4 linked regions of the Ovis aries genome follow. The protein of the gene in region 1 purifies or fractionates together with the protein of each later gene. This does not show direct contact. Links are inferred from orthologs where the notes say so. Each region holds a gene or a part of one and is shown in the gene's direction. Other genes may lie near its edges. The genes, in order: ING4, JADE3, MEAF6 and BRD1.

Region 1 (4,168 bases):
AATGAACAGAAGTTCAGTAGGCCAAGAGGGATGGTGGAAGTGGGGTGAAAGAGACGGGGCAGGGCGTCCTGGGCAGAGAGAGCAGTGTGCGGAAAGCCAAGTGTCTGGAAGAGCACCGGAAAGTTCAAGGCACTCAAAGAAGGCCAGTGTGACAGAGCGGAGCGCGCACAGACGGGGACTGACCTGAGTTAGGTCTGGTGTGCAGCACGGGCCAGAAAGTGCAGAGTAGGACTTGGGAATATTGCAGTGGAAGTGACTGGAGGTTTATAAACGGGAGAGTGACTTGATCCGATTTGCATTTAAAAAAAAAACATTCTGGCTACTGTTTGGAGAGCAGATTGGAAGTGTGTGTGTGATCAGTGGAGGGTACCAAGAGGGTATTTGTAAGTTGAGGGCAAAAAGATCTTTTTGTAAAAAAAAAAAAGTACTTATTTGGCTGTGCCAGGCCTTAGTTGCAGCATGTGGGATCTTTCATTGCAGCATGTGGGATCTAGTTCTCTGAGCAGGGATTGAACCCGAGCCCCCCTGCATTAGGAGCATGAAGTCTTAGCCACTGTACCACCAGGGAACTCCCAAGGGCATGGAGAGGGAAGGGCTGATTTGTAAAGTTACTGAAGAGGGGAGGGTGGGAAAGCTGTGCAGAGATGGGGAGCTCGCTGTGGAGACCGGTGGACATGGCTCCTCCTGAGAAAGCAATGATGAGTGCTGTCACAGATAGTCCAACGGTTTGAAGGAGGGATAACCAAGTGCTCTTTGGACCTATTTTTTAAAAGTAGCTAGTGTGTGTGTGTCTCTGTGTGTGTGTGTCTGTGTGTGTGTGTTAGTCGCCTGACTCTCTGCAGGGTTTATGCGTGTGTGTGTGTTAGTCACTCAGTCGTGTCTGACTCTTTACAACCCCATGGACTGTAGCCTGCCAGGCTCCTCTGTCCATGAAGTTCTCCAGGCAAGAATCCTGCCATTCTCTTCTACAGGGGATCTTCCCGACCCAGGAATTGAACCCGGGTATCCCACATTCCAGGGGATGTGGGATACCAGGGGTTGTGTCTCAGATTCTTTACCATCTGAGCCACCAGGGAAGCCCCCCAATGCAGCTATAGGGCTTAGGAAGTCCAGGGAGTCTTAGTTTCTCCTCTTCTCCCCAGGTATTGAAAACCTGCCCTTTGAACTGCAGAGAAACTTCCAGCTCATGAGGGACCTGGACCAAAGAACAGAGGGTATGTGCAGAGTAAGGAGCCCGGTGCCGAGTGAGTGTGTGTGATCGTCTCCCCTCCTGTTTGGTGTTACCAATATCACCTGGTCTGATCTAGATTGCTTTGTCTTCTCTTTCACTCTCTTGCAATTCTTAAAAGGAGAGTAATGATGACCTGTGTTTCTGTGTCAGCTTTTTCATAACTCGTGGAGTATTGTAACAATGCCACAAGAATTTAGAGATGCTGTGCTCTTTTATATCTCCCTCAGGAAAAGTGAGAAAACCAGTCAATCCTGGAATCATTTGTGTTCTCCATGTTCGATATGTTTGTAGGAAGACTAACTAGAATGCTTCTACTCCACTGGGCTGTTAACATTATTGTCACAAAATTCAGTGTGGCTTTAGACTACAGTTCACATTGGTACACAGCAGCTTTGCTGCATGAGGAGATGTTAGAAAGAAAGTGGAAAAAAGAAAAGGAAAAGCAGCAATTAACATCAGAATCTCTACACTATATTCTTCAACCTTACAGAAGCATTAGGTGCCATCTGTGGCCGTCCTTGGACATTGATTAAGTTTGGCTGCATTGAGACATTGACTTGGAGCCTGAGGCTACACTGCGGTGGGCGAGTTTGTCTCTCATAGTCGAAGGTCTCTGTTGGTGCTATCGACCATGCTTGCTGAAGGATATGTAGGTGTATCCTTATGTATCCCTGCCCAGGGGTGTTAGAATGCCTAAAGCTGTGATTTGAGTTACTCTGGGTCAGTTTGCTCATGGACAAATGAATATTATCTAAGATCCTGGACACAGGCCCCTGAGAACTCCCTGCTGAATGCCAGCCACCAGCTCCTTGCTTTGTAATATAGTTCTGGCTCTTGAGTTCATGCACAGAAAGACCCATTGGGAGATGACTGAACCACATACATGTTTTTCCAACTTCCTTCAAGGGCCTGGAATAAAGCAGAGCATAAACCTAGTATGCTCACACGTCCTCGCTGTGGTTACTTGTTGCTAAACCGTGTTGGGAGGCATGCTTTTGTCTCCGTGCACATTTTCTCTGAGTGCTGTAATATTAGGCAGTAGGCATCTATGGTCTCGGTGTTTGGGGGCATCACCAGCCTTCTCCTAGTAAAATGTTTGGAGCAATAGCTAAAATGAACACACAGGAGAAAAAAGTGATGGAGAATATTTGCAAGTTGCAAATGATGAACCAAACAGGGTGGACAGTAAGCAGAAGAACTGTTCCATTAGTGAACTCGGGCCTAATTTTCAATACTGAGATGTAGACGTACAGACCCTGGAAGTCAAGAGCAGCAGCAGATGACTCAGCCTGGTCTGCAGCTCTCAGAGCTATCGCAGAATGTTTCTGAGATGAGAAATCAGATGGCTTTTGAGACAGAAGCAGCAAGCTGTGCAAAGAAGCATCTTCAGACATTGACAGAAATGTTCTTCATATTAGTGCAGCATGCAGAGAATCCTTCCTTGTGTTTCCATAAGTCCAGTTTCAACTATGCTAGCAATGTCTCCAGCAACCAAAGGTGCCTTCACAGCACATGTTGTGGCCATGTTGCATCGCTTGAGTATGTGGCACAGTACCTAGGAATGTTGAGTGTGTTTTAATTCAGAGGTTGTGATGGTCAGTGCAAAAGGTCCAAGGAGCAAGAGGAGGAAGTGTGTTTAATCTTGCCACTCGGGGGCCATTATGACCAGCCCTGTCTCTGTTGTAGACCTGAAGGCTGAAATTGACAAGTTGGCCAGTGAATATATGAGTAGCGCCCGCAGCCGGAGCTCTGAGGAAAAATTGGCCCTTCTGAGACAGATCCAGGAAGCCTATGGCAAGTGCAAGGAGTTTGGTGATGACAAGGTGCAGCTTGCCATGCAGACCTATGAGATGGTATGGCCCTACCCATGGCTCCCCACTACCTCCCGTCTATTCCTCAGGGTCCTCCACCCCTCCTTTAGCGTGCTGGGATCTGTTTGGGGTCTGGGAGATGCATGGATTCTGCCTTAGCCTGTTTGCTTTTACTGGAACCAGCCTGGTAGCTCTTCCTTCTCCTTCCTTCCTTCCCACCCAGGTGGACAAACACATTCGGCGACTGGACACAGACCTGGCCCGCTTTGAGGCTGATCTGAAGGAGAAGCAGATTGAGTCAAGTGACTATGACAGCTCTTCCAGCAAAGGCAAAAAGAGTGAGGAGGGGGGTGGGCCATGAGAGTTGGAGCGAAGATTCCAAGAGGGCAGCCAGCCCATCCCTCAGCTCCAAGGGAGGACCCCTACGTTGGAGGAGAGGAGGGGTCCTTAACCCATCTTTCTGTCCCTCTGCCTTCTGGCTGCCCCTCCCCTCTTCCCTGGAAGGTCGGACTCAAAAGGAGAAGAAAGCTGCCCGTGCTCGTTCCAAAGGGAAAAACTCCGACGAAGAAGCCCCCAAGGCCGCCCAGAAGAAGTTAAAACTTGTGCGCACGTGAGTGAGTCAGGGAGCACCCTGCCAAGTGACAGGCTCCTCTTTGCCCCCGCCCCGCCCCTCGCCCCCTTCTCTATCACTCTGGTATCTGCTGGATACAGAGGGGAAGCCACAGACCACTAGCCTCACAGGGATCTCCTCGTGCCACTCTGAGCGTCAAGCTGTAGCGTCCCTTCCTGCAGGTGATACTCTCTCTCCCTCTTGGCACGCAGAAGCCCTGAGTATGGGATGCCCTCAGTGACCTTTGGCAGTGTCCACCCCTCTGATGTGTTGGATATGCCTGTGGATCCCAACGAACCCACCTATTGCCTTTGTCACCAGGTCTCCTACGGGGAGATGATTGGCTGTGACAACCCTGACGTAAGAACCGGTTTGCCTCAGGGCGGGGGGCTCTGGGGGACAGGAAGGGAGTTGGGTACCAGAAGAGGGTAAGGGCTGAAGAGTGGGACCTCAGGACAGGAGGAAGGGAGTTGGAGGTGGTTGGCCTTGGACCCTTCAAGAATCCTCCCGCCGGAT
Region 2 (6,069 bases), on another chromosome or scaffold:
GCAACAAAGACCCAGCAGAGCCACACACAAAAAAATTTACTGTTGTGGGCAAAATACATGAGCAGACATTTCACTAAAGAGGATATACAAATGGCAGATAAGCATATAAAAAGATGTTTAACAACATCAACTATTGGGGAAATGCAATTTAAAACAAAGAGGTATCACAACACATCTATTAGAATGATAAAAATAAAAACATAGTCACTATACCAAATGCAGGCAAAGATATAGAGAAACTGGATCTCTACATTGCTGGTGGGAATGTAAAATGGTATAGACAGTCTGGAAATTTTTGGCAGTTTCTTATAACACTAAACATACTCATACCATCCAACCCAGTAATTGCACTCCTGGGTATTTGCCACAGAGAAGTTAATGTTTACACAAGAAACTCTGCATGAATATTCATCGAAATTTTATTCTTATACACAAAAATTGAAAACAACCCTAATACGCATCCAGGTGAATAGTTAAACTGTAGTACATCCATAGCAATACTACCACTCAGCAATAAAAAAGAATGATCTATTGATATGTGCAACTACTTGGATGATTCACAAGGAAATGATGCTGAAATGAAGAAAAGCCAGTTTCAAAAGGTATGATTCCATTCACATGTGATAAAATTGCACAGTTCTATACATACAGACACAGAAATGAGTGCATTTAAAACTGGCGAAATCTAAGTAAGGACTGTGGCTTGTACCAATGTCAATATCTTGGTTATGTAAGATATTACCATTGGGGAAAATTGGGTGAAGAGTACTTGAAACTGTTTTGTAATACTTTTTTTTTTTTTTTTACAGATCCTGTGAATCTATAATTATTTCAAAATAAGTATAATATTGAGGTAAGGCTTCCCTGGTAGTTCAGCTGGTAAAGAATCTGCCAACAATGCAGGAGACCTGGGTTCCTTTCTTGAGTTGGGAAGATCCCAGGAGGAGGGCATGGCAAACCACTCCAGTATTCTTGCCTGGAGAATCCCCATGGACAGAGGAGCTTGGTGGGCTACAGTCCATGGGGTCACAAAAAGTCGGACACGACTGAGCGACTAAGCACAGCACAGTCCAGCAATACTGAGGTAAATAAAAGGAGGATAATAAATAAATGAGGTAAGTCTGAAGGGCCACGAATATTTTAGAATTCACATATTTGCACATTATGAAATAGAACTACATCTTTAATACTGAAAACAGACAAAATACAAAAAGAGCCCACATTTTTGTTTAGCCTAGAAATGTGAATGAAAATGACAATTATGAGTTCATGGTAAAGAGTTTGCTGCTTAAACATCTGTATGAGTCAGTTTTCATCCAGAGACAGACACACAAAGACGCACACACAGTCACACTTATTCATTCATTGATTAGAAGACATTGGCTTACAAATGTGGGGCAGGCAAGGCAAATCCAAAATCTATAGGGCACACAATCAGAAAGGAATGACCAGACCCATCCAGATTATCCAGAATAATCTCCCTCACTTTATGTCAACTGATCAGGAGCTTTAATTACACGAAAATACCTTCACAGCAACACCTCGGTTAGTGTTTGACTGAATAACTGGGGGCTGTACCCTAACCAAGTTGACTCATCAAAAAGCCACACCTCATAAACCACTTGTGCCTGCAACTGAATAAATTTATTCTGTGAATAGACACTTCGGCTTGAATATTATTATAGGTGTAATTCAAGCGCAAACGGCTTAAATCAATAGTGACCGACAACAAGTTGCATACAGGAGGGTCCACTTATAGAACTTCAGAGTTGAAAGGGGCCATGAAAAGCTTAGGTAGCATTTCAACACAACCCAGGCACCTCCCCATCGTCGGCGTCTCCAGCCCTCAGAGGTGGTGAGGCGCCTCCAGCCCTCAGAGGTGGTGAGGCGCCTCCAGGCTGCAGCGCACCCAGCAGGAGCTGAGAGGAACCCACCTGGAGCCCCGCGCGGCGCGTGCGGGAGCACTAAGTGGGCGGGGCCTCAAGGCGCGCGGCGGTGGCAAACTGCGCCCGGCCCGCCAGAAGAGCGCGCGGCGGTCAGAGCGGTCGGACAGCAGGGAGCCAGAGACGGGTAGGGCGAGCGCGGCCGGCGGTTGGCTGCGGGTGGGGGGGCGGTTGGAGTGGAACGCGGAGGTTGGGGAGACGGTGGAGAAGGAAGGAAGGGGAAGAGGCGGAGCGTGGGAGCGCACAGTGTCAGGAATACAATAGTGTTCCGCGCCGCTTCAGCCGCTGCCGCCGCCGCCTCCTTCGCTGCCGCCGCCGCCCAACCGCCTGCCCAGCGCTGAGGCCTGACGGGCCGGGCGGGCGGGCGAGGGCCGAGGGCGGGAGCTGAGGCGCGGGGGCCGGCCCCGGCGGATCCGGCGGCGGGGCGGAGGGCGGGGGGTAAGGGAGGAGATTAGGGGGCAGGTGCGAGGGAGGGGAGAGAAGAAAGCGAGCGGTTCAGGGGGCGGTTACCACCTCTACCAGACTCGCCCGGCACGTTGCCGGGCCCTAGTGTGGAGCCGGGAAGGAGCAGCGGTCGCGCCGCGCCAAGGTAGGCGCCGCTGACGCTGGACGCGGGGCGAGCGGGTTTGGGGGGCGTCGCGTCGGGTGGGTAGCGGGAGTGGCGGCCTCAGGGAGTGGAAACGGGCGCCACGGAGCGCAACGTCCCAGAACAACCTCGCCGCGCTCCGGGTCGGTCCGGCTCCACACGGCGGTGGCCTCCGGCGTCCCCAGAGCCTTGGAGCCGAGAGCGTGTGTGGGCTGAGGTAAAGTGCCCGGTGGCTCCTCCGCCGGCTCCGGGCAGCGCTGGGTGGCCGGCCCGGGGGCGTGGGTGGTGGGGGCGGCCGGCCGGGTTCGGCTGCGGCTACACTCGGGCAGAAATTGAGCGCCATAACTGTTGCGGCCGTTTCCTCCGGTGCCCCCTCCTGGCGCCCCCTCCCTCCCGGTTCACTGCCTGCTCTCGGGGCTCCCGGGGTCCGACCCGCGGCGTGAGGACGCGCTCTGCGGGCCTCCTGGGGCCGGATGCTCCAGGGAGCGGGGGCGCACCCCGACTGTTTCGCTGTTGAGGGGCGGGAAGAACCGAGTCCCAGAGACTGGGGGCCGGGCGGTGCGGGCGGCGGCGTGGTCCCGCCGTTAGTGAGCCCCGGCGTCCCGCGGGCTGACGAACTTTCCCTCCCCCTCGCGTTATTGTTCCAGAGCTGCCGGTCCGGGCCGCCGCGACCGGAGAGTGCCGGGCGGTCCGGGGGGGCGGGGGTGGGAAAAACGGGAGGGCTTTCCGAATCTTACGGGAAAATTTTTCCCACAGCTGGGCACGGAAAACTTAACTTTTCTCAGCAATTGAGTTGGTTTTATTCCCCACGCCATGGTGATATCGATTAAAGAAAAAAAAAAAAAAAGTCTGCCTCCAATCTTTTCCTCTCGCTTTTCTCGAGCTACTGCTTCGGTGAAGTCCGACTTTAAATTGCACGCGGTAACCAACCTGCGTTTATTATTTGTGAGGGGGGAAAGCGGGGGGAGGGACCTCGAGTGTGGGACCATAATGGTGGTATGTGAAGGCATGTTTAGAAGTTGGTATCATTGTGTAGCCCTGGGACATATGCAGCTCCTAAGCATTTGGCAAGAAACTTGTTTGGCCGCTTCTCTGACTTTCTGAGATGCAAGGAAATCCATGCTCTCAGATGTTCATGGGGTTGTTTTGGATGTGAGATCCGTTGATCTGTAAAGCTGAGGTTGAGATCCCCGTGTCCGCCCCCCTACCCCGCGGGCCTCCTCGGGCCCCCCCCCACCCCCCGCGCGCCTGATTGTGTAAGAAATCAAAACCGTGTTGATGGTGATTCCAGTGGCCTGGAGGGAAAGGCGACCTCATTCTCTGATAAAGATAACTGTCTGCTTCTCTCTAAACTGGCAAAGTAATGGAAAATAATTTAGGTAAAGACTGGTTGCACAACATCTTGGCTTAGTTTAAGCAACCCAGAATCCACTTTCCCAGAGTAGTTCTCTTAAATACCTTCCCTGCAGCCATTTCTTGTCAGCCTGGGGGGTGAGGTGGCGGGGGGTGGGGGTGGCGGTGAGAAAGGAGTCGGCCTGAACAAAGCATTCTATTTTTATTTAATACTTTCATAACATCTGTAAACAATGGGAATGTGGATCCTAGGCCTCTGTACCCTTTAAATAGTGTAGTTCTCATGCTTTTATAGCATCATGTGGGTAAGTGAAATAGATGTAGTTTTTCCCCCTCTCTTCTGTTTATAGCCTAGGAGTAAGGATCCCACCTGCTAACGCAGGAGACTTGGGTTTGATCCCTGGGTTGGGAAGATCCCCTGGAGGAGGGCATGGCAACCCACTCCAGTATTCTTGCCTGGAGAATCCCATGGACCAGAAGAGCCTGGCGGGCTGTAAGTCCATAGGATCGCAAAGAGTCCGACTTGACTTAGCAGGCAGGCATTCTATCTACCTTTATAACGTGTCATTTTCTTTTTCATCTAAAGGGAGCTCTGAATTTAAATACTTGAACTATAAGAGGGTAAAAACTCTCTCCAAGGGTGAAAGAATTACATGAGATCTTCTCAGTGTTAGCTGCCATCACTGACACCTTTCCTTCAACTGTGCTCTTCTCTACAGTTTTGTTTGCTTGAGAAGTGCTTGTAACCTAGTCTTGGTGCCTTGACAGAGTTTCTTGCATTCTTCGTCCAGTCATTTCTGAAATATTCAGGGGTCCTTGTCTGGTTCTAGAACCTACACTTTCATTCTCCCACTTTTCTGAGTCGTGTTGCTGTGAGTTGGTGAATCTTGGTCACAGGTAGGGGAGAGTGAAGAAGGGCCTCTCAGTCCTTCCTGAAGTGTTTGTGATCAGTTGGCCACCAGGAGTGACTTGGAAGCAGCCTGAGGGGCACCTGTGACCCACCTTCTGGCCTGTAGAGAAGGTTCCCAGGAGCAGGACAGATGATGGTTCATGGCTCTCATAGTTGAGTTGTATGGGTTAGAGAAAGTTAAAATATTTAAGAACAAAGGATGTTGAAGGCTGTAGGTTGAATATGAATTTCTTTGGTAATGCTTGTCTTTTTTCTCCTTTGTGTTCCACCAACTCTAACAACCCATTTCTCCCCTAAGCTACACAAAGCCATTTCTTCTTTATACATACTTTGAGGTATGGCTGGAACTAAGCAAGTATTTGGGGGGGAGGCACGAGGCAGAAGGCATTGAGTGCTTTTGAAGACGTGGCATTACAGAGGGCTCTAATAAGCCTTGATCAGGGATACAGAGGTTGAACATTGTGTAGGACATAATGCATCTATCTCCTCATAGAGCTTACACAAAACAGGAGCTGAGGAAGGTAGAGATCATATGCTGGTTTACATTAAGAAAACCTCATCCAAGGATAACTTACTATGATCTTCATTTGTCTCACCTTATAGGTGAGAGTTGAGTGTTGGGTGACACCCATGTGGCACTCTTCAGAAATGGCTAATAGGGGGACACTTGAATGATTTCAAGTTTCTATCTGTTGTCCTACTTACAGTGGCTAGGAAAGCTGAAGCATTCTGTTTTGAGGAGTGGGGAAGGTCTAGGATGAGTAGGTAGAAGTGATGAATGAATAAAAGGGTGCTAGCAAGTGGTCGTTACAGACCAAGTAACTACTGCTTTGAGTTTTCTGTTTTCTGGAATCTTCGTGATTCCCCCAGGGTTATTTTTTCTTACTCTCTGTAAGTCTCTCCATAGACAATAGCAGCAAAGCTCTTACCATCAGATCTGTCTCTGTGCTGCTCTTGTGTGGGTGGAACAGTGAACAAGAAAGTGTGAGGAGAATTTGCCTGGCCCCATAACTGAGCTTGGGGAAGGGAAAGTAAGGACTCAGAGGGTAGCTGACTGAAGAAAGTAGGGTGCTTGGTGTGGGGAATAGTACTGGAGCTTTGTCCAATAGGAGATACCTATGCATTCATTAGTACTCTTCAAGCAATAAATAATTTAATCTCTGTCCCAACCCAGAAGCGGTGGCTGAGCCCTGTTGCCCATGGGATTTTTGTCCTTTGATATTGGCTGATAGGCAAGGAAACATGACTCTGGAGTGTGTTTTTTGGAACAGGTAACA
Region 3 (5,944 bases), on another chromosome or scaffold:
CTACCAATGCAGTGTTGAGTCCTGCCCCCAAGGCCACAGAAGCGGAGCCCAGAACCAAGGTCACCTCTGAAGCTGACTGAGCCCCTTTGTAACTGAGCCCCTTTTGTTTTCAGAAGACTCCCTGACTTCCTGACCCCCAGTCAGGCAAAGATGCCCACTTCAGCAAACACCTTATAGCACCCCAACCAATCACCTAACACCAACCTTGCAGCAGGCATTTTCTTTGGCTTGAGGCTATAAAAATTGGCTATTAACCCACAAAAGCCGTCAACTCTCCCTGGTCTCTTAGGAGGTTGGCCCACTGTGCTCTCGGTGCCTACTTTATCTCTGCTCTTCATTCTTATACTCGCTCCCTGCTGGAATGCTGTGTGTCTGGAAATTCTTTACCAACCTATGCTCAAACTGCTTAACATGCAGGAGATATGGGTTCGATCCCTAGTCCACGGAGATTTCACATGCTGCAGGACAGCTAAGCCCGGGTTCTGCTGAGCCTGTGTCCTGGAGCCCGGGAGCCACGGCTGCTGAGCCCACGTGCGGTAACTACTGGAACTTGAACTCTCTAGAGCCTGTGCTCCGTAGCAAGTGGAGCCACCGCAAGGAGAAGCCTTAGCACCACCATTAGAGGGTAGTTTTGAATTATTGTTATAAAACCCTTCATCACATCCTCCCAGGGTGGAACACATAGTTTTTCGAGACAGAAGCCCAGTTTGTCTTCCTTTGCCTGGCAAAGTGATAGAGCCTTCCTTTTCTACTTCACTCAAAACTTTGTCTCCAAGATTTGATTTGGCATTAGTGTATGGAGAGGCCAAGCTTTCCATAACAACATTAGACTTACAGCAATTGTGTTAAGTATGCACTATTATTACCTCCATTATACAGATGAGGAAATTGAGACAAGTGAAATTTAGCTACCTGCTCAAGGTGGCCCAGCCTCATCAATGGTAGAGGTAGCGTTTTTTAAATTTTAGTTTTTTATTGAAGTATTGTTGATTCACAATGTTGTATTAATTTCAAGTGTACAGAAAAGCGATTCACATATATGGAATCTTTTCAGATTATTTTCCTTTATAAGTTATTACAATACAATGAGTATAGTTTCCTGTGCTATAGAGTAGGTCCTTGTTGGTTATTTATATTATATGTAGTAGTGCCTGCATATTAATCCTAGACTCCTAATTTATTCCTTGCCCTCTTTCCCCTTTGGTAATGGTAAATTTGTTTTCTGTGTCTGAAAACTCACAGAATCATCATCTCCCAGACCTCAGCTTTGTTCCTCCTCCTCCATTTCTGCCACCAGCCAGGTGTCTGTTCCAGCTCGTCTGTGCCCTTAACCACCGCACATACTTGTCTCTCTAAAGGGCAATAGGGAGCCACTGAAAGGTTTTTACCTAGAAGGTGACACATTTGTTTTCTAAAAACAAATCATCCTGGCACCACTTTGGATAATGGATTAAATCGAGCTAAGGATAGAAACAGGAGGCTGTTGGAATGTCTCCAAAAACGAGAGCCTGGATGAATGAGGGAGGTGGCAGACAAAAGGAAACAGATTTACGAGCTCTGCTCGAGTCAAGTCCAGAGGACTTGGTTTTGGATCGGATTAAGGGGGTGAAGAAGGGTGAGGCCGGTACAAAGGTTTCTGACTCGAGTAATTCCGCGGACACTAAAAGTCATTCACTGATGAGACTTCCGAGAAGTCTTATTTTGGACACGGTGAGTCTGCAGTGCAGAAATGCGGCCGGGACCTAGGGCAGAGGGCACCCTTGGGGTCCTGCGAGCCCACCGGCGGGAGCTCTGGGGGGCGCCCAGCGCGCCTCCGGAAGCCGCGCGCGCAGGCGCAGTGTGGCGGCGGGCGCCCCCTGGCGGGCGGTGGCGCGAAGGGACCGCCCCCAGCCTAGCGCTGCCGCCGCCGCCGCCCGCCTCAGCCCAACATGGCGATGCACAACAAGGCGGCGCCGCCACAAATCCCCGACACCCGGCGGGAGCTGGCGGAGCTCGTGAAGCGGAAGCAGGAGCTGGCGGTGAGGGCCGGCACCGGGGGTGCCCGGGTGAAACCCCCGCGCTTGCCCCCGTCTCCGGGCCCGGGCCCGGCCGCTCCGGGCCGTTCGTTACTCCCCGGGCGCAGCGCGGCGGCTGGGAGTCCGCCGGCCTGAGGACGGCTGCGCATTGCGCGGCCCGCCGGCGCCTCGGCTTCCCGGCCGGGCGGATCTGGCGCCGGGAGCCGGGGGCGGGGCGCGGAGCGGGGGAGGGGGAGGGAGGCTAGGCCGGCGGAGGCGTGGAGGGAGGTTGGCGCCCGCGGGTGGGGGCTTCCGTGTGGGAGCCTGCGGCGGCGAGGGTCCGCGAGCCCCGCGGGCTGGATGAGGGCGGGCGGCCCTGGGCTCTTGGAGCGATTGGGCGGCAAGCGTGCCGGCAGGGTGGAGGAGATCGGCTCCGGCTTGGCTGTGGGCTCTGGGGAGGTGGGGTAGGAGACGGATGTGGGAGGGGAGACCCACACATCCATTCTGACCTTTGGAGGATGGAGGGGCGTTAATGTCTTTGCGGGGAATAGGATTAGATCCGTTGGATGGGGCTTTTGATGGGCAGGCGTGGGATGTGTTCGGGGACTTCTTAGAAGATGACAGGTGAGGGGGAGCGGACTCAGCCTAGGGAATTAGAAATTGTGACACGCGCCTGGGGCCCCTTGCTCCCTGGTGGCTAAGCCGTCCCTCCCCTTGCGTTTTTGGCTGGAGCACCGGGAGGCGCATCTTACCTGAAGCTGCCCTTCCAGGTTTCCATAGCAACCGGCCGCCCGGTGCAGGCGGCCTTTCGGAGCTTGCAGGGAGGCGAGCGAGTTGGCGCTGGAAGGCTGCTCACCCTTCCCTCTCCGGTAGCGGTGTCTTTTATGCGTGGGAGTGGAGACTGCTCACCTTCTTCCTCCGCGGTTTCTTGACAGCTGGGTTTCCACGAAGCCTCTGAGTATATACAGACTTTTGCCTGGGTGTACATTTTTCTAGGGACAGAATCTATTTCATTTTATTCTTAAAGGCACCCAGCAAGACAGGTCTAGACTGTCTTGTCTGAAACAGCCTGCCCCTACCCATGTCATCCCTCTCTCCACAAGGCTGACTCGGTGTCGTTGAACTTGAATTTCTAAGCCTGATACCAGGATGTCAGTTTGGTCCGACTTAATGCTTGCATGTAAAAGGCATCAACTGTTTCCTTGTCTTTCACCTCAGGAAACACTGGCAAACTTGGAGAGACAGATCTATGCTTTTGAAGGAAGCTACCTGGAAGACACGCAGATGTACGGCAACATTATTCGTGGCTGGGATCGGTATCTGACCAACCAAAAGTGAGTGACAGAAGCCTGTAGTGTTGCTTTGTGCCCTACTAATGTTTGCATTTGGTGCTTCCCTGGCGGCTCAATGGTCAAGAACCCGCCTGCCAGTGCAGGAAGTGTGGGTTCCTTCCCTGGGTCAGGAGGATTCCCTGGAGAAGGAAGTGCCAACCCACTCTAGTATTCTTGTCTGGAAAATCCCACTGACAGAGGAGCCTGGTGTGCTGCAGTCCATGGGGTCTCAAAGCATCTGACACGACTTGCGACTAAACAGCAACAACTGTATTTGTGATCAGGACTATGTATGTCCTTGGCGGTAGCTTTGGAGGGAAGCAGTAGTAAGGTGGGGTGGACAGAGGTCTGCATTCGAGCTTGGTCTCTGGTTCAACCCCTGCCTCACTGAGTAACCCTGGACAAATCCTACACAGTAGGGGAAGTCTGGCCAATGGCACAGGGTTGTGTGAGGCTTAAATGGAATACAGCATATAATACTTTATATACCAGCATGCCTCTTGCTATTTTGTACATTTTAATCAGTCAAGAGTTCCACCCTCACAGGATTTGCCCTACCTATATGCCAACTGTGCCATGGTTTATTTAGTAATATTATTCTTAAAAATGTTCTAATTTTTTTTTGAAAATTTTCGAATCTAGAGAAAAATTGAAAGAATAGTTCATGATCTCTTGATCTCCTTCACCGATCACCAGTTAGCTTGCTGTCACGTTTGATTTCTCTCTCTTCCCTTTCTGTAATTTACAAGCACACACTCTATGCGGGCATGCCTGCTTAGTCACTCAGTGGTATCCAACTCTTTTTGACCCCACGGACTGTAGCCTGCCAGGCTCCTCTGTCCATGGGATTTTCCAGGCAAGAATACTAGAGTAGGTAGTCATTACCTTCTCCAGGGGATCTTCCTGACCCCGGGATCGAACCTTGGTCTCCTGCATTGCAGGCAGATGCTTTACTATCTGAGCCAACAGGGAAACCCATACATCCCCATATCTATACTTAAAATTAAAAAAAAAAATTTTTTTAAATAATTATAGATACATAGGCAAAAAACAATACAGAGAGGTTCCATATATCCTTCACTCAGTCTTCCGCAGTGGTTGGGTTTTATGTAACCATTTAGTACAATGGTAAAAGGAGGAACCTGACCTTGGTACAATGTGTAAGTTTAGTTCTATCATTTTATCAAGTGGGTAGCTTCCTGTAACCACCACCGCAGTCAAGATATAGAACTGTTCTGTCACCACAAAGATCTGCCTCCTGCCACCCCTCTGTAGTTGTATCTCTCCTTTCTTCCATATATGTGTATTATACTTTCTGCTAAACCATTCAAAAGTTAAAAGCAGATCTTGGACACTTCGTCCCTAATTGTGTTAGCAGATACCTCCTAAGAATAAGAGCATCTTTCTTAACGTAACCACAATTATGCCTAGAAAATTAGCACTACATTAATAGTATTATCTAATATACAGTCTTTATTCATATTTCCCCTAATGGCCCCCAAAATGCATTGCTAGCTCATTTTCAACCAGGTAGTGTTTGTGCATTGCATTTGGCTGTTATGTGTCTTTAGTCTCTTAATTTAGGATCTTCCCAACCTTTTCATGGAGAAGGCAATGGCACCCCACTCCAGTCCTCATGCCTGGAAAGTCCCATGGATGGAGGAGCCTGGTGGGCTGCAGTCAGTGGGATCACTAAGAGTCGGACACGACTGAGCGACTCCACTTTCACTTTTCACTTTCATGCATTGGAGAAGGAAATGGCAACCCACTCCAGTGTTCTTGCCTGGTGAATCCCAGGGACGGGGAAGCCTGGTGGGCTGCCGTCTATGGGGTCGCAGAGTCGGACACGACTGAAGCGACTTAGCAGCAGCAGCAACATTTTCAGTGGTGAGCTTGTTTATGACATTATCTTGTAGAATGTACAAATTGTAGGTTTTTCTTGTTGTGACTTCATGAGGGATCCTTTAAATACTTTTGGCAAAAATGTTGCATTACTGATTATGTACCTCTTGTTTACCTCCCAGTTGTTTTCTCTTTTTTTGACTGCCCATGCCATGTCGGATCTTAGTTCCCTGACCAGGGATCGAACCTGTGCTCCTGCAGTGAAAGCATGCAGTTTTAACCACTGGATCACCAGGGAAGTCCTTGTTTGCCTTTCTGTTATCAGAAAGCTCAAAACGACAGATTGGCCCATTGTTGGTGCTGCTAAGTTTGATTATGTAATTTCACAATTGCAAAAGTTATTTTTTTCTCTTCATAATTGACAGTTAATTTCAGAGGTTATACTTTTTTAGAAGTGTGGATATGCTCCTCCCCCAGTTTGTGTCTCTGGGTTTAGTGTCCATTGTTGATTCTTACCTGAATCAGGTATTATAAAGGAGGTTGCAAAATGATGATTCTAATTTCACTGCTCCTTCTGCATTTGTTACTAGCATTCTGAAAGCAGAGTTGTCCCTTTTTATCTTCTTTCCCTTTCATTCTGTCTCCCTCTCTCTAGAATCCTTGTAGATGCATGGACTTAAAACCCAAAAACCCCCCAGTGTATTGGGGTCTAGTACTGTCACTTTTTTATGCTAAAAGTTTATTTTATTATTTAGTACAAATTCGTTTATTGAAATC
Region 4 (5,835 bases), about 16 Mb from region 1:
GGAAAACTATCATGAAACCACTGAATTTTGGAGTTCAAGCCAAGGCCACAGTGGAAGCTGCCAGTGGAGACTGCGGCTAACCCTCAGGCCTCTGAACTAGTGCTGCTCAGGCCCCTTCTGTTCTACCTGGATCCTACAGAGGCCGTTCCCACCGCAGGCCCCCCACTCTCGGTTCCTCAGGGCTCCCGGGCTGCTTGCCCCTGTCAGTACTGGCACGCCCTGGTCTCCAGCGAGGCCTGGCCAGCCAGCGCAGGGCCCTCCAAGCTGCCTGCGGCTGTCTGCCTGGCCAAGCCCGTGTCCATCTGGCGCTCACTCTGGGCTCCCCCCGTCCTGCGGCCCCCCTCTAGATTCCCCCCAACACTCAGCGGGGCCTGCTCCATCCAGTGCTTCTGACTCCTGGACCGGCCCCCTTCATCCCCTTCCCACTCCCCTCCCAGGCTCCCCTCCAGCACCCTCTCAGATGCCCCCAGTCCTGTGTCCGCGACTCCCTCGCCCGCCCAGCGCCCCCCTCTCCTGAAGCCCGCACCCCTTAGATGCCCCCGGCCGGTGTCCGGTGCCCCGTCGCCCGCCCGGCGCCCCCCTCCTGAAGCCCGCGCCCCTCAGATGCCCCCGGCCGGTGTCCGGTGCCCCGTCGCCCGCCCGGCGCCCCCCTCCTGAAGCCCGCGCCCCTCAGATGCCCCCCGCAGCCCGTGTGCCGTGCCCCGTCGCCCGCCCGGCGCCCCCTCAGATGCCCCCGGCCCGTGTGCGGCCCCCGGCGCCCGCCCGGCGCCCCCCTCCTGAAGCCCGCGCCCCTCAGATGCCCCCCGCAGCCCGTGTGCCGTGCCCCGTCGCCCGCCCGGCGCCCCCTCAGATGCCCCCAGCCCGTGTGCGGTGCCCCCTCAGGTGCCCCTGGCTCGTGTGCGGTCCCCATTGCCCACCCGGCGCCCCCTCAGGTGCCCCCGGCCCGTGTCCGGTGCCCCATCGCCCGCCCGGCGCCCCCCTCCTGAAGCCCGCGCCCCTCAGATGCCCCCGGCCCGTGTGCGGCCCCCCTCCTGAAGCCCGCGCCCCTCAGATGCCCCCGGCCCGTGTCCGGTGCCCCATCGCCCGCCCGGCGCCCCCCTCCTGAAGCCCGCGCCCCTCAGATGCCCCCGGCCCGTGTGCGGTGCCCCGTCGCCCGCCCGGCGCCCCCCTCCTGAAGCCCGCGCCCCTCAGATGCCCCCCACAGCCCGTGTGCGGCCCCCGTCGCCCGCCCGGCGCCCCCCTCCCGAAGCCCGCGCCCCTCGGGCGCCCCGGCCCCAGCGCCGGCGCGCGGCCCTGCCCTCCGTCCCCTCCCCCGGCGGCGGCCGCGCGTCATGGCGGCGGCGGGCGGGGCGCGTCTCGCACGCAGCGCGCCGGGCGGAGCGCTCGCCGCATTGTTTGCTTCGCTGGGGAGCGAGCGGGCGAGCGAGCCGGCCCTGGCGTCCGAGCAGCCCCGCGCCAGCGCCCCGCCGCCCCGCCGCCGCCGCCGCCCGCCGCCCGCCGGCCGGGCTCCCGCGCCGGGCCTCCGCTCGGCCCCGCCGCCCGCGCGAGCCGCCGCCCGCGAGCCCGCGGCCGCCGCGCCGAGCCGGGCCGGGCCGCCGCCGCCAGGAGCCCGCGCCCAGAGCGGCGGCGGGCCGGGCCTGCGCGGCCGTTGGCGGAGGAGCCGCGGGCGCCATTAGCGCCGCCTCGGCCGCGCCGGCCCCCGCGCCCGCCGCCCGGCTCCCGCGGCCGCGGCCCCGAAGGTGAGTGCGCCGGGCGGGCCGGGGCCGCCGCCTCGCCCGCGGGCCGCCGCCGCCGCCGGCCTCTCGGTGCTGGGGCCGCCGCCATGTTTGGGGCCGCCGCGGCGACGCATTGTCCGCGGGCGGCGGGGCCGGGGGAGGCCGCGGGGCGGGGGCGGCGGCGGCGGCGGGGCGGCCGGGGCCGGCGGGCGGGAGGCCGGCCTGGAGAGGCGGGGAGGGAGGGCGGCCCGGAGGCCCGGACGGGAAGCCGGGGGGCCGGGGAGGGAGGCCGGGCGGCCGGGGAGGGAGGCCGGGCGGCGTGGGAGCTCGGCAGGGAGGGAGGCGAGGCCGGCGGGCGGGAGGCTGGACGGGGAGGGAGGCCGGCCGGGTTGAGAGGCCGGGGGGCCGGCGGGGAGGTCGGCCTGGCGAGGCGGGGAGGCCTGGGGGGCCGGTCTGGAGGCTGCAAGGCCAGGGAGGGAGGGCGGGCCGGGTTGAGAGGCTGAGCGGCCGGCAGGGAGGGAGGCCGGCCGACGGGGAGGCCCGGGGGGTCCGGTCGGGAGGCTGCAGGGCCTGGCCGGGAGGCCGGGGGGCCGGGGAGGGAGGCCGGGCGGCGTGGGAGCTCGACAGGGAGGGAGGCGAGGCCGGCGGGCGGGAGGCTGGACGGGGAGGGAGGCCGGGCTGTGGAGGTGCCGAGGCCGCCCTGCCCGCCGCGCCTCCCGCCCGGCGAGGTGGGGGCGGCCCGGGGTCTCGGCTTCCCCGGCCGAGCGTTTGCCCGAGGGTCGCGTTATGTAACGGACGCGCTGGGCTTGTTGAGCCCGGACGGCAAACTTCCTGTTCCAGGGCCGCGCGGACCCGCGCGGCCGCCCCCTCCCGCGCCCGCGGCGGGCGGCCTCCGGGCCCCCAGGAAGAAGTGACCTGGTTGTAATTTACGGGGCACGCGCTACAGGCGGGCCCCGCCGGAGGAGCCGCCCACCGCCCGAGAAGGGTCGCGGGGGCGGCGCTGCATGCCGCCCCTGCGCGAGGGTGTTCGTGGCTTTCCTAGGGCCAGGCGGGAAAGGCGGTGTTGGAAGCTGAACCGGTCTTGGGTGCCGCGTTCCTCTCTTGTGGCCACAGGGCTTTTCAGGGGGCATTTATCAGAAGGGTCTGGAGGGTCTGTGAATGGCGTCCACGTGGGAACCTTTGTCCTGCACGGAAGCTCCAGCTGGACGGAGGTTGGAGGTTTGGAGCCTGGGGTGTAGGGGAATGGTGGCCTGGTGAGGTGGTTTGCAGAGTGACCAGCGCCTTCTTGTCCCTGTCACCATCGAGCTTTCAGATTGCAGAGCTGCCATGACCAGTAAGTGCTGTCCTTCTTGTAGCAAGTGGCCAGATACAAAGTCTCGGTCACTTCAGGAGCATGTGGGTTTTGAAGAGCCGGTTATGGTTAGTGCTGTTGGTACTGTGCTCTGGAGGAGAAAATTACACGTTTGCCTTTCCTCTGCTGAGTAACCAGCTGTGGCTTCTGCCCCACCCCAAAGGACCCCTGAGGCTGCACGGGGGGCCCTCCTGCAGGCTGGGGTGTGGACAGCAGGGGGACTTGCTCCTCTCCCCCGGAAGGGCTGGCAGGGCCAGGGCCAGTTGGGGGGCAGCTTGGCTGACTGCACCCCAGGAGTGCAGGGCTGTGGGCCCCTGGGATGTGGAGATGCAGGTGGGTTAGGGTTGGTTTGCCCACGGGCTCTCAGGCTCCCCTTTGTAGGGCATTCTTGTCAGATTTCACAGAAACATTTCTGTTTCACAAAAGAGAAGGAAAACCACAGTCGGAAGGCTCTGTCTCAAGGAATGCATCTCAGGTCGGCTGCGATTTCCTTTCAGGTGTGACAGCGCAGGCCGCTGTGTGGCGCCTTTTCCTGGCCGACTCCCCAGGGCCTTGTCCGGCGGGGGGCCTTGGGCTCCACCGGGCACGAGTGTCAGCCAGTCTCGTCAGCATCACTCTGCTTCCTGTCAGTGGCGAGTGGTGGTTTGGAGTGGGGAGAGGGCACTGTCATCAGTTCCTAAGGTGTTACCCTGCTTGGCGGGTGCTGGACCAGAGTCCGGGATCGTCAGGAGAGGGAGACTGGAAGTAGAACTTGCTGGTGGCTGATGGCGGATGTCTGACAAGAGCAAGTGCTCGAAAGTCTCCATGGCCAAGGCTTTAGGCGCTTGAGCCTGTGCTGCACCCGGTAGAGAGGAGGAGCACTCTGTGGATGGCGAGGGGGTCTCTGGGTTGCCCTCACTGTGACAGGATGATGGCCCAGCACTGTGGTCAAGCCAGCAGCGAGAGGGTCCCTGAGGGGCAGGCAGGTGGCTGGAATGCGGTGGCCACTTCCGAGGCCCTGCAGGGGCTGGGTGGGGTCTCCTGGGGTGAAGCCTGCCCAGGCCAGTATGGGGCTGCCCTCATGGGTCCTGGCGCGGGCGGTGGCCTGTGCCTCAGCATGGCTGTGCAGGGTGCGTTCGTGGCGACAGTGGCGGGCTGAGGGCTCTCTCCTGAGCAGCAGCGGGGGTCAGGCAGTGGCCAGAGCCTGCAGGAGTGCAGCTCTGTGCATGTACTGTCTTGGGCTCGGGACTGTGACCCGAACTCGCGAGGGGTGTGGATCCAAGCCGACCAGTGAGCTGTGGGCGTCGGCATTCTGGAGGGACTTGTCCCCGTGTGTGCCTCTGGGGGCCCTCCTGACTGCCTGCCTTCTGCTCTGGTCCTGGGAGCCCTTGGGGGGCAGTGGCCTGGTGGCAGTGGCTGGTGGCGGTTGTTGAGGTGCCTGCATGAGTCCAGGATGAGTGATTTTGGGAGCCTCGGGCAGGTTACCTGGGAGTTGTGTTTGGATTTAGTGCCAGTTGGTTCGCTCTGCGCACATGTGCTGGGTGGTTTTCACCTCTCCTGTCTTCTGCATGGCGCTCACGTGTTGTCTGTCTGTTTCAGGGAGTCAGTGCCAAATGAGGAGGAAAGGCCGAGGTCATCGCGCTGCAGCGAGGCACCCTTCCTCCCCCGGCAGCACCAAGCACTCCCCCACACGAGAGACCCTGACCTACGCTCAAGCCCAGAGGATGGTGGAGATCGAGATCGAGGGGCGCCTGCACAGGATCAGCATCTTCGACCCCCTGGAGATCATCCTGGAAGATGACCTCACCGCCCAGGAAATGAGCGAGTGCAACAGCAACAAGGAGAACAGTGAGCGGCCGCCCGTGTGCTTGAGAACTAAGCGGCACAAGAACAACCGGGTCAAGAAGAAAGGCGACGCCCCGCCCGGCGCCCACGGCGCGCCCGCCTCCGCCAGCGCCCTCCCTGAGCCCAAGGTGCGGGTGGTGGAGTACAGCCCCCCGTCGGCGCCGCGGCGGCCCCCCGTGTACTACAAGTTCGTGGAGAAGTCAGCTGAGGAGCTGGACAACGAGGTGGAGTACGACATGGACGAGGAGGACTACGCCTGGCTGGAGATCGTCAACGAGAAGCGCAGGGGCGACTGCGTGTCGGCCGTGTCGCAGAGCGTGTTCGAGTTCCTCATGGACCGCTTCGAGAAGGCCTCGCACTGCGAGAAGCAGAAGCAGGGGGAGCAGCAGTGCCTGATTGACGAGGACGCGGTGTGCTGCGTCTGCATGGACGGCGAGTGTCAGAACAGCAACGCGATCCTCTTCTGCGACATGTGCAACCTGGCGGTGCACCAGGAGTGCTACGGCGTGCCCTACATCCCCGAGGGCCAGTGGCTCTGCCGCCACTGCCTGCAGTCCCGCGCCCGGCCGGCCGACTGCGTACTCTGCCCCAACAAGGGCGGCGCCTTCAAGAAGACGGACGACGACCGCTGGGGCCACGTGGTGTGCGCCCTGTGGATCCCCGAGGTGGGCTTCGCCAACACTGTCTTCATCGAGCCCATCGACGGCGTGCGGAACATCCCCCCCGCGCGCTGGAAGCTGACCTGCTACCTCTGCAAGCAGAAGGGCGTGGGCGCCTGCATCCAGTGCCACAAAGCCAACTGCTACACTGCCTTCCACGTGACGTGCGCCCAGCGGGCCGGCCTCTACATGAAGATGGAGCCCGTGAAGGAGCTGGCCGGTGGCGCCGCCACCTTCTCCGTCAGGAAGACCGCTTACTGTGACGTCCACACGCCCCCCGGCTGCA

The links.
Region 2: the proteins of ING4 (region 1) and JADE3 purify together in Homo sapiens (affinity purification with mass spectrometry; 3 studies listed by BioGRID and IntAct, with this or other methods). This does not show direct contact. The link is inferred for Ovis aries from reciprocal best matches to the Homo sapiens genes ING4 and JADE3.
Region 3: the proteins of ING4 (region 1) and MEAF6 purify together in Homo sapiens (affinity purification with mass spectrometry; 5 studies listed by BioGRID and IntAct, counting the BioPlex papers as one, with this or other methods). This does not show direct contact. The link is inferred for Ovis aries from reciprocal best matches to the Homo sapiens genes ING4 and MEAF6.
Region 4: the proteins of ING4 (region 1) and BRD1 purify together in Homo sapiens (affinity purification with mass spectrometry; 5 studies listed by BioGRID and IntAct, with this or other methods). This does not show direct contact. The link is inferred for Ovis aries from reciprocal best matches to the Homo sapiens genes ING4 and BRD1.

What each region holds. Positions count from the first base shown.
Region 1 is NC_056056.1:209,613,096-209,617,263, forward strand, and holds part of ING4 (inhibitor of growth protein 4), read left to right. Parts: intron 1-1,142; coding exon 1,143-1,214; intron 1,215-2,917; coding exon 2,918-3,084; intron 3,085-3,265; coding exon 3,266-3,380; intron 3,381-3,546; coding exon 3,547-3,652; intron 3,653-3,864; coding exon 3,865-4,012; intron 4,013-4,168.
Region 2 is NC_056080.1:57,873,837-57,879,905, reverse strand, and holds the start of JADE3 (protein Jade-3), read left to right. Parts: upstream 1-2,019; 5' UTR 2,020-2,070; intron 2,071-2,454; exon of another isoform or gene 2,455-2,532; intron 2,533-6,069. UniProt on the Homo sapiens protein: Scaffold subunit of some HBO1 complexes, which have a histone H4 acetyltransferase activity.
Region 3 is NC_056054.1:12,340,598-12,346,541, reverse strand, and holds the start of MEAF6 (chromatin modification-related protein MEAF6), read left to right. Parts: upstream 1-1,920; 5' UTR 1,921-1,928; coding exon 1,929-2,018; intron 2,019-3,212; coding exon 3,213-3,328; intron 3,329-5,944.
Region 4 is NC_056056.1:225,165,283-225,171,117, reverse strand, and holds the start of BRD1 (bromodomain-containing protein 1), read left to right. Parts: upstream 1-2,351; 5' UTR 2,352-3,041; coding exon of another isoform or gene 3,042-3,048; 5' UTR 3,049-4,577; coding exon 4,578-5,835. UniProt on the Homo sapiens protein: Scaffold subunit of various histone acetyltransferase (HAT) complexes, such as the MOZ/MORF and HBO1 complexes, that acts as a regulator of hematopoiesis.